Linked DNA regions of Arabidopsis thaliana. The protein of the gene in region 2 interacts with the protein of the main gene of each other region in a pairwise test. Each region holds a gene or a part of one and is shown on either strand. Other genes may lie near its edges. The genes, in order: PUP8 and ABCG6.

Region 1 (4,192 bases), on a different chromosome or scaffold from region 2:
AGTGTTCTTGAGATCTGTCCATGAGAAAGAAGATTGTTTCTTGTTTTTATTGATTGGTTTTGTTTGAGATGTCGTGCAGATACACAAGAGGCCTTTCTTTAAACACACATTGATGGTATTACAAAAAAACATCTAAATACCCTACACAAGTTGCATTATCAAACATGGCAGGCTTTTAGTAAATCGTATTATATGGATGGGGCAGGCGATAGATGACAGTAGCAGTATCATTATTTAGTAGTCTCATGTTGACCGGTGACTTTTCTTATTTGCTTACACTTGACTTGTGGAATTCTTGAAACTTTTGAATGGCGGCTCTACGAGAATTTTTTTTATTTTCTCAGTGTCTACTGACGTTTAATCAGAAGTCAACAAAGATACAAGAATCCAAGCTCCTGGAGTATACGTTTTTGGTATTTTAAGGAGTCTTTTTACAAGGCACTGTTCAAGTCACTACATTGGTTATTTGTTATGTCAGTGGCTTCCAGGTAAGTGGGTATTATTTTTGTTCACTTGTTTCTTTTTTTTTGTTCAAAGCTCTGGTTTTCCAAGGATGCTTTAGCCTATTTGCCTCTCTGCTATCGATGTTTGCTCTTGTTTTTTGGTGATTCAAATGCATTGCAAAATGACAAAGCAGAGTATTGCATTTGCATCTTTAAGTTATGGGTATCTCCGGTATATAGAAGTAAAAAAGATCCGAACTATTGGTATCTTATGTACAAAACTTATCAGTTACTTATGATTGACTAGAGATACACGTTTTTATATCTATGCTCAAACTGTACAAAGATACATTGGCTTTACACTGGAAATATGTTTTGATCATACACTATGTATGTTTGTGTGACCTTCCTCAGCAGGTAGTAGATGAGGATCTCCTACAGGACTTGTGTGGCTAGTCTTCAACTTCTTTTCGTCGAGGTAGTGCTGATAGACAAATGAAATGAATCCCCAGATAGCTAAAATGATGGAGAAGATCTTTGACGCGTTCATTTTATCATGGAAAACAATCACTGCTACAACTGGAACTATAGGCAATCCCACAGCAGTTATGGAATTGGAGAACACAGAAGATGACTCAAAGATCAGTCCCACGACGCCAATGGTGTAGACTTGCCAGGAAATAGCTATCGAGGCCAAAGTCATAACGTATGGCACTTTCCCCAGTTTGTAGTTTTCCATCTCACTTGTTAAAGTTTTCCACTCCCCGCTTGCGAAAAGTCCTATGAGAACCACACAGCTTGCAACTAGAGATTGGTAAGCGACCAAGTCAGTGACCGTTGAGAATGTTTGCTTCTTTAAAACCTTCCTGAGGATCAGTTGTACCAGGGATAGCAGCAATCCAATCCCAGCAGAAGCACCAATGGTACATATTATCCCTATCACATATTTTACTCTAGACACTTTTGCTGTGTTTTCCGAATCAGTGTTGACCACGAGGAGGGCAGAGGAAATAGTAAGGAGAAACAGAGAATTCACAATGAAAGGTGTGAACTTCTGCGAGTTTAGAAAATATGAGAAGAAGGCAGTGAAGGCCAATTGTGAGGCCAAGATGAGGGAGAAAGTAGAAACTGGTAAGTATAGTAAACCAACAGAGGACATATAAGAGTTAGCAGACACTAATAGTCCAGTAACGATGTAAACTGATCCAAGAATGGTGAAGGAAGAGAACTTTCTGAAATCTGCTTCTGTTGGTTTGGGATTTTTGGTTTGGGAAAAGAAGCGGAAGAGAAACAGAACAGGGAAGCCGATTAGTTGGACAAGTGTTCCCATCCATGTACTCTTCCCACCATTTTCATAGTAAACTCTGCCCAAAATTGTAGAAAGTGCTTGGCAAGCAAGGACAAAGAACACGTAAATGGAAATACGAAGCCATTTCTTATAGTTCTTCGATTGAGGTACGGACGAAGATTCGATTTCCATGGTGGTATTCATTTCCTCCTGACCTGTTAGGTTTGCTTCTATGTTGTTATGATCTGAAAACATCAAAAACAACAGGTTAGCGAAAAGAATCAAGTAATCTACACTACGAGATGCATCTTGCTTACCATTGACATAGATTACTTGAGTTATTTCCATGACCACTCTAAGAGGACTTCCCACAAACAGAGTTTTGGTAAAGCTTTTATATATATGAAGGTTGGTGGGAACAAGTGCATCATATTTCTGTAAAGATGTTTACCGTTGACTTTGAATTATTGAAACCTTTTAATTGGCGGTTTTAAGAAAACTTCTTATACACAACGTTGTTAAAGTAGGCTGAGTTTGGTGAAAACAGATATATAGACGCTTGATATTGTTGTATCTTATTCTAATCTTATTGGCTCAAGTGTCCGTCCACTTGAAAAAAAAAAATTATTACTTGTTTTTGTTATGTTAGTAATCTATTTTGTGGATTTGGAAGTCAACAACGATACAACAAGACGGGAAGGCCATAAGTACACTTGACTTGGATTCAGAAGTCAACAAAGATACATGAAGACTGTGAGACCTTGAGACACTTACCAATTTTATTTGTAGTGCCTACAATATATATAACTCATTTTTATTTTAGATTAAACTGGTTCAAATTACAAAAGCTTTTGGTTTTCTTGGATCTTTGCCTAAGCTTGGACATGAATGGTATCTACTTGTTTTTGTTCTTCTTCTTCTTTAGACTGAGGAAGCTCTTGGTCTTCTTCTGGCTTTCTATCATTGACATAATGCTGATAACCATAAGAAACAAATCCCCAGATGGCCAAAAACATTGCAACCAACTTGATTCCACTCATCTCATCACGGAAGAAGACAACAGCAAGAACAGGCACAACTGGTAAACAAAGAGTGCTTATGACATTGGAAAAAAGCGATGAAACTTCGATAATCAAACCAACACTTCCAATCAAACAAGCTTGCCATGATATCGTTGAACCGATGTTTATCAAAATGTATGAGCTTTTCCCTAGTTGAAACTCTTCCATTTCTGTACTCAGCTTTTTCCACCCACCACTTCCAAAAAGTCCTACCACAACTACACAAGTAGCTACCATAGACGGATATGTGGCCATGTCTAAAATAGCCTTGAATGTGTATTTCTTTAGAATCTTTTCGAACGCGTAATCTGTTAAAGAAAGCACCAGAGAATAACCAGCTGAGCTACCGACCGCGCAGATGTATCCAATCACATACTTGGACTTGGCTGCGGACTTTGAAGTAGAAGAGGGAGATTCTGGTTCATGTTGGATAACAAGAAGTGTAGAAGATATGGTTAAGAGAACAAGTGAATTGAGTATAAATGGTGTGATTTTTTGTGAGTTTAGGAAGTAAGAGAAGACGGCGTTAAAAGCCAATTGCGACGCAGAGATCAAAGAGAAAGTTGAGACAGGAAGGTAAAGTAGCCCAAATGAGTACAAAATACAATGTCCAGCAACAAGCAAGCCAAGTCCAATATACACTAAAGATAGTGTCAAGAAGGAAGAAGTAGTTTTTTTGGTAATGGTTTTAGTCTTGGACGGCTCAGGCTTTAAGTAATAATAGCAAGGAAGGGTTAAAGGAAACCCTACAAGCTGAACCAAGGTTTCGAGCCATGTGCTTTTACCGCCTTTTTCGTAGTAAAGTCTACCTAAGAGAGTGGCTATTGTCTCTCCAGCTAAGAGGAGAGTGACATAGAGAGACACTCTTAACCTCCAAGAGTACTTGTGACTTCTCTCTTCTGTTGAAAATTTCCCTTCAGGTTCTACCATCAACACATGAAACAGAACAAGAACATAAGTAAAAGAAGAAGAACACAAGAATCTCTACGCCGGAATTTCTGTTACAATACTTACCGCCATTTACGTGAAGATGGAGTTCTTGAGTTTCTGATTCTAGTTCCATCATAGAAACCTGAAGGAGAAATATGTCAGGGAACAAATAAAGATGGTGTTGCTTACTTATATAACAGGCAAATGCGTATGCATATATTATTCTTTAATAAATAAAGTTAGTATTAGTTTACATTAAGATTTCAGTTTTTAAAATTATAAGTACTACATATATCGTTATAATTTGTCCTACTAACCATTTCCCGTGAATTGTTAAATGGCACTCTTGGAATGAATCATCTCCTCCATTTTTGTAGGATCCTATCTTTAAACGAACCAAATTTTATTACCAACCAGAATTTTCTTGCCATATTTTATATTTAGCCAAAACAAATCCTTAGGGTACTAGC
Region 2 (5,176 bases):
TATTCATAACACGATGTCATCAATATGGCTTTAGGTATATCCAAGATACCAAAGGTACACCACCTACACCAAACTTGCTTGAAATGTTGACATAGCCACTTTTCAGTTGATAGAGACAAAGGAGTTTGAGAAATAAGGGTTAGTAAGTTTGCTATTATTGTTTTGACCCAATAATAAGCTTTATCACCTATCATGTTGAAGCATGTACAGTTTGGTAGAACTGGATTTACTGGCCATGGACGAGAGCAAACTGGAAACGGCCAAAGGTACACTACCTATTTGAACCCAATGGGGTGTTTGATGGTTCCTTATCTTTTTCCTCATTCCAAGTGAATTTGAACTTTAATGTTGCATTTGAGGGAAAGGATTCTGATTGATCTTGTTGCTTTTCCAGTGTAGGCATGTGAAAGATGAATTTTACGAGGTTGAATCAGTAGATGTTATTAATGAGGGGTTGAGGAAAGTGTTGGGAACCGGAAGAGGAACCCATAATCTGATTGGGGAATGTGTATGAGTTTGTACATAGTTCATGTTTCTGAAGCAAGAGATTGAAGTTGTTTAGAGAGGCTGGTGTTCTAAAAGTGACGAGACTATAGGCTAAGCTTCCCCTTGACTATGGTTGGCAAATCCATCAACATACGTCATATGATGTGTTCTACGGAATGTGTAAGGTGCTATTGTACTAAAAAAGTTGGCAATTTTTAGTTGTAAAATTTGTTTTACTTATCAAACCCAAACAAGCCAAATATTCTACACACATTTATAGTCTTTTCTTTTCAGAGTCTTCCAATTTATAATTCAAATAAATAGCAAGTAGTTGGGCTCCAATTCAACAATTTATCAACCACATATATAAGAATATACAACAAAGAGATAAAAGAAAAATACAGAAAACAAACAAAGGTAAATCAAGTTTCAAACCAGTCCTCCATAAGATCAAACTGAGTTTTGTTTTTACCTCCTCTTGTTCTTGCTACCCAAAAGCAGAGAAAAGTAGAACAAGATTCGAAAGAAGAAGCCCCAAGCGACCGTGACCCACAAGCAATTCCATTTGGTGAGATCCGTAACGCCTTGTTGCTGCAAAATGTCATATCCTGTGGTCAAGCAAGTAGAGCTTGTGATCCTCATTCCAAGTGATTTGCTCATAGTTGCTAGAAGCCTAACTTTCATCCCCTGAGGCACCGCGACCAGAGGTGTGTTGTCGAATATCTGAACTCCTCTGACGAAACACTTTGTTGGGTCACCGAATTCGTTTAGGAGCACAGCCTCATAAGGATACTTGACTAAGGAAATGTAATGGAACCAGATCCAGTAGCCAGGGATTCGATCTCGGTTGATGAAGAATCCACTGAAAAGCAAGAAATAGGCTAAAATGGCTACAACAATGGTGTAACCGAGCATAACGTGTGGGACAACGCCTGATAAGAAGGTGACGAATGAGCTTCCTGCCCAGAAAGAGGCTAAGATTACTAGGAAGTAGAAGAGGAAACCCATAAGACCTCCATCTAAACCCACACCCCAAAATGTGATCGCTGCAAAAGCAAGCGAGAGGATGATCAAGGAAGGGAGGGCAACAAGAGAGTGAGATAGTACATAGGAGGATCTTCGGTAAGCGTTGTAAGCAGTTTCTCTCATGAAAATGAAACGTTCTTGGAGGAAAACAGGGAGAGCATCTGCGCAAGTGTAGAACGTTGTGGACATTGCAAAAGCGAAGCATCCAAGACGTTCTTGGACTCCTTTAGGGGAGTTATCTAGCTGCCAAAACATAGTGGCTAAGATGAATCCAGTGACTAAAACAGCTCCTAGGCGTATCCCGAATAGTTCAGGCTGTCTGCGAGAATTAGTCATGGACCGTTTGGCTAGAACCGCGAGTTCGACCCAAAACGGGTTCGCGAAAGTTGGAATAGTGGAAACAGGGCTCGAGCCAGAGCTATGAGTTGTTGTGGTCGCTCCAGAGACGAGCTTGCCTTTAGAGATACTTGCGCTGATGGCTTCTTTTAAGGACAAGCCAGTCTGACTTCTTGGCTCTGCTTTCCTCTGTCTAAACCCTTTGTTGAATTCAACTAAACTTCTTGTTCCACCAGCTGATCCTTCCAGCTCACGTATCAAATCCAAAGCGAACTCGGTGCGGTTCTCATGTTCAGGAATTGGATGGCCAAACTCTGCGAAGAAGCGCGGTAGCATCGCAGGCGATCCGCTGAAGACAGTTTGGCCACGGGACAAGAAGAGAAGACGATCAAGCAATCGAAGAAGACGGTAACTAGGTTGATGAAGAGTCATGATCACCATACTTCCACTCTGAGCGATTCGTTTAAGAACCTTAATAACACTTAGAGCACTTGTAGAGTCCAGACCCGAAGTTGGTTCATCGAGGAAAAGCAGAATCGGATCGTGGATGATATCGATCCCGATTGAAACTCGCCGTCGCTCTCCTCCAGAGATTCCACGGTGTCCTTCATCTCCGATCACCGTATTCGCCGCGTTTCTAAGTCCTAACTGATCAATCAAGGCTTGGACACGGAGAGACTTCTTTGATTTCGAAAGGCTTCGCGGGAGACGAAACTCGGCAGCGAACATTAAGGTTTCTTCAACTGTAAGCATCGGAAAAAGAAGATCGTCTTGCATCACATAAGCTGAGATCGCTTTCTGCATTTTCGAATTGAGAACTTCTCCGTTTAGAGTTACATTTCCTTTCAAGCTTCCTTTAGCGATTCGATTCGCTAACGCATCGATCAGCGTCGATTTTCCAGAGCCACTTGCTCCGAGCACAGCTAGTATCTCTCCGTCTCTAGCTTCTCCGGTGATTCCGTTGAGGAGCGTCTTCGTCTTGGAAGAGAAGATCCCCTCAGACGGAGCTCCAGGATCTGAAGAAACACTGCGTCTCCATGTGAACTTCCGGCGAACTTTGACGCTGTAAGTGAGATCAGTGAACGAGAGAACGAACGGTACGGATTGGTCCGGCGAGGCGAGATCCACATCAACGTGATGCTGGTGGTGACTACGACGCGTGGAGTCGTCGACGTTTTGCAAGAGCTGTGCGAACGTTGTTGGAGAAGACGACGCGCCTGAGACATTGCCAAACTCCGGCGAGAAGAACGGCAACGCCATATTGTCGTCCGCTGCGACCACACGAGACATTCTTCTTTGGGTTTGTTGCGATTGTGAAGCGGGAAAAATCAATAGACGGAGGAAAAACTAACGGCGTCAAAACTACCGTTAGCCGGAGAAGAAAAGAGGAAAGAAGAGTTATGGGTTTAACCAAGGATTTAATTTCTAATTCTATTTATAGATAAAATTCTCAATGTGGTTGGGCTGTTTAACATGCTTTGATTTTTAGGATTAATTTTGATGGGGAGAGTCAAAGTCACAATGCTGATGCTTATGTAGATGAACCTCCAAACCTAAACACAAGCAAGTAAAAGTGTAAAACACAAAATGCCACTTGTCAGTTTCTGTTTCTTTAAAATGTTTTCGTATAGCAATCAAATGTATTTTTTAGGCCACCCTTGCCGAATTTAGGCCACCATTCCCCCACCCACCTTTTATACTAACAAATTACAATGTGAAAAAAACTAAACAATCTCGAGATATCTCTTGTTTCCAAGGTAATCATAGTATTACATAAACTTCACTTATTTAGGTGCGACTTTTTGTTTTATAGGTGAGTTCATTTTTTATTCTAAAAAGAAAAACACTTTCTGCTTCGATTAAGCAGTTAGAGGGCGCTATAAAGAAGATCATCGATTCACTACTCGGATAAGAAACTCTTTTAACCTTTATAGCTGGTCGTAACATTGTCATCTAAAGCCATGATCCAAAGGATTCACCACTTCCCTACTAACATCATTTACAACAACCCTTTCATTCTAGAAGAAACGAGAGGTATATAAACCAAATGGCAAAGAAATAGAAAGCTACCAGCGTGTATGAACATATCCAACGGTTTTGCTATAGACAAACCCACCAATCCAACCGCATCATTACTCCCAACACCAATCCAACCGATATGTGACAAACTGACCAGTCAAGCTGAATTACCAGATTCCAACGCCTGTAAGATAACTGACTGGTTGAACTTGAAGTTTATGAAACTGCCACCAGGTTTTATGTCCTGAGAATGGTCGACTACAGGCTTTGTATTGTGGCTTTCTACTGTTGCTGTTGTATTGTGGCTTTCCATTGTTCCTTTCCTGAGTTCAGGCTTTGTACTGTGGCTTTCCATTGTTGTTCTCTTGAGTTCAGGCTTTCTACTGTTGCTTTCCATTGTTGTTGTCCTGAGTTCAGACTTTCTATTTTGGCTTTCCACTGTTGCTGTCCCGTTCCCTCCAACACTAGTCCTTGCATTCCACACGCAGAGTGCTGTACAAAGCATATATAGTCAGATCTCTACCAAAAACCTCTCTTTTAATGAATGCTTGAGAAAAAGACGTCAAACCTTTAAGGGGCTTGTTAGGTCTCCGTGCTACAGGTGAAGGATGCTTTAATATCCACGACTTCAATGACCTGCACAAGTTTGTAATCTCTCTTGTTATGAACCAAAACACGAAAATCACCCAAAAATCTATGTGTATAAATTAGAGAGCCACTACTCACGAAAGGAAAGGTGCCACCATGTACAATTTGAGACCAGAAACTCCATGAGTTATCACCTCATTACTTGCTGGCTGAAGATGATCAAGCCGATGCCATGTGATTTCCTACAAGTATTCCACAACAAAAGAAGATAAGAGACTCATCATACATACACAGACAAGATCAGATCCACAAGTTAATTGTTAAATACGCACACTGATTTCCTTCTTTGTAAGTGGTGCAAAAACTGTATCTTCTGTCACCCCAGCAACAATGTAAAGTCGTACTCTTTGCTGCCTGAAAACAAACTCTATATATTCTTCTCTCTTGAGTAGCTTTGAGACATCAAATCCAGTTTCCTCTAAGACCTGTAATTTAGCATGGAAGAACAATACATAAGAAGTGTGACAAAATATTCAGTTTTTTTTCAACATTAACCCATATTCCAAGTCTATACAAACAATCAGAAGAAGAATTACAGCACCTGAAATGCTACATTCACCAGGAGAATAGCACTAGAGAGCTACAATTAAACCTTTGACCATTTCCATACCAATGAAATAGTAAAAAGATACAGAGAGCCTATATAGTTGACCATTGACAG

The links.
Region 1: the proteins of ABCG6 (region 2) and PUP8 interact in a protein complementation assay, tested with the Arabidopsis thaliana proteins (one large-scale study listed by BioGRID).

The regions. Positions count from the first base shown.
Region 1 is NC_003075.7:10,067,605-10,071,796, reverse strand, and holds PUP8 (purine permease 8), read right to left. Parts: upstream 2,340-4,192; 5' UTR 2,080-2,339; coding exon 2,049-2,079; intron 1,977-2,048; coding exon 823-1,976; 3' UTR 682-822; downstream 1-681. Other genes in the region: PUP7 (purine permease 7), read right to left, coding at 1-22; PUP6 (purine permease 6), read right to left, coding at 2,604-3,715, 3,807-3,858.
Region 2 is NC_003076.8:4,368,841-4,374,016, reverse strand, and holds ABCG6 (ABC-2 type transporter family protein), read right to left. Parts: upstream 3,326-5,176; 5' UTR 3,139-3,325; coding exon 955-3,138; 3' UTR 816-954; downstream 1-815. Other genes in the region: DCP2 (decapping 2), read right to left, coding at 4,025-4,359, 4,436-4,503, 4,594-4,697, 4,788-4,940, 5,057-5,095.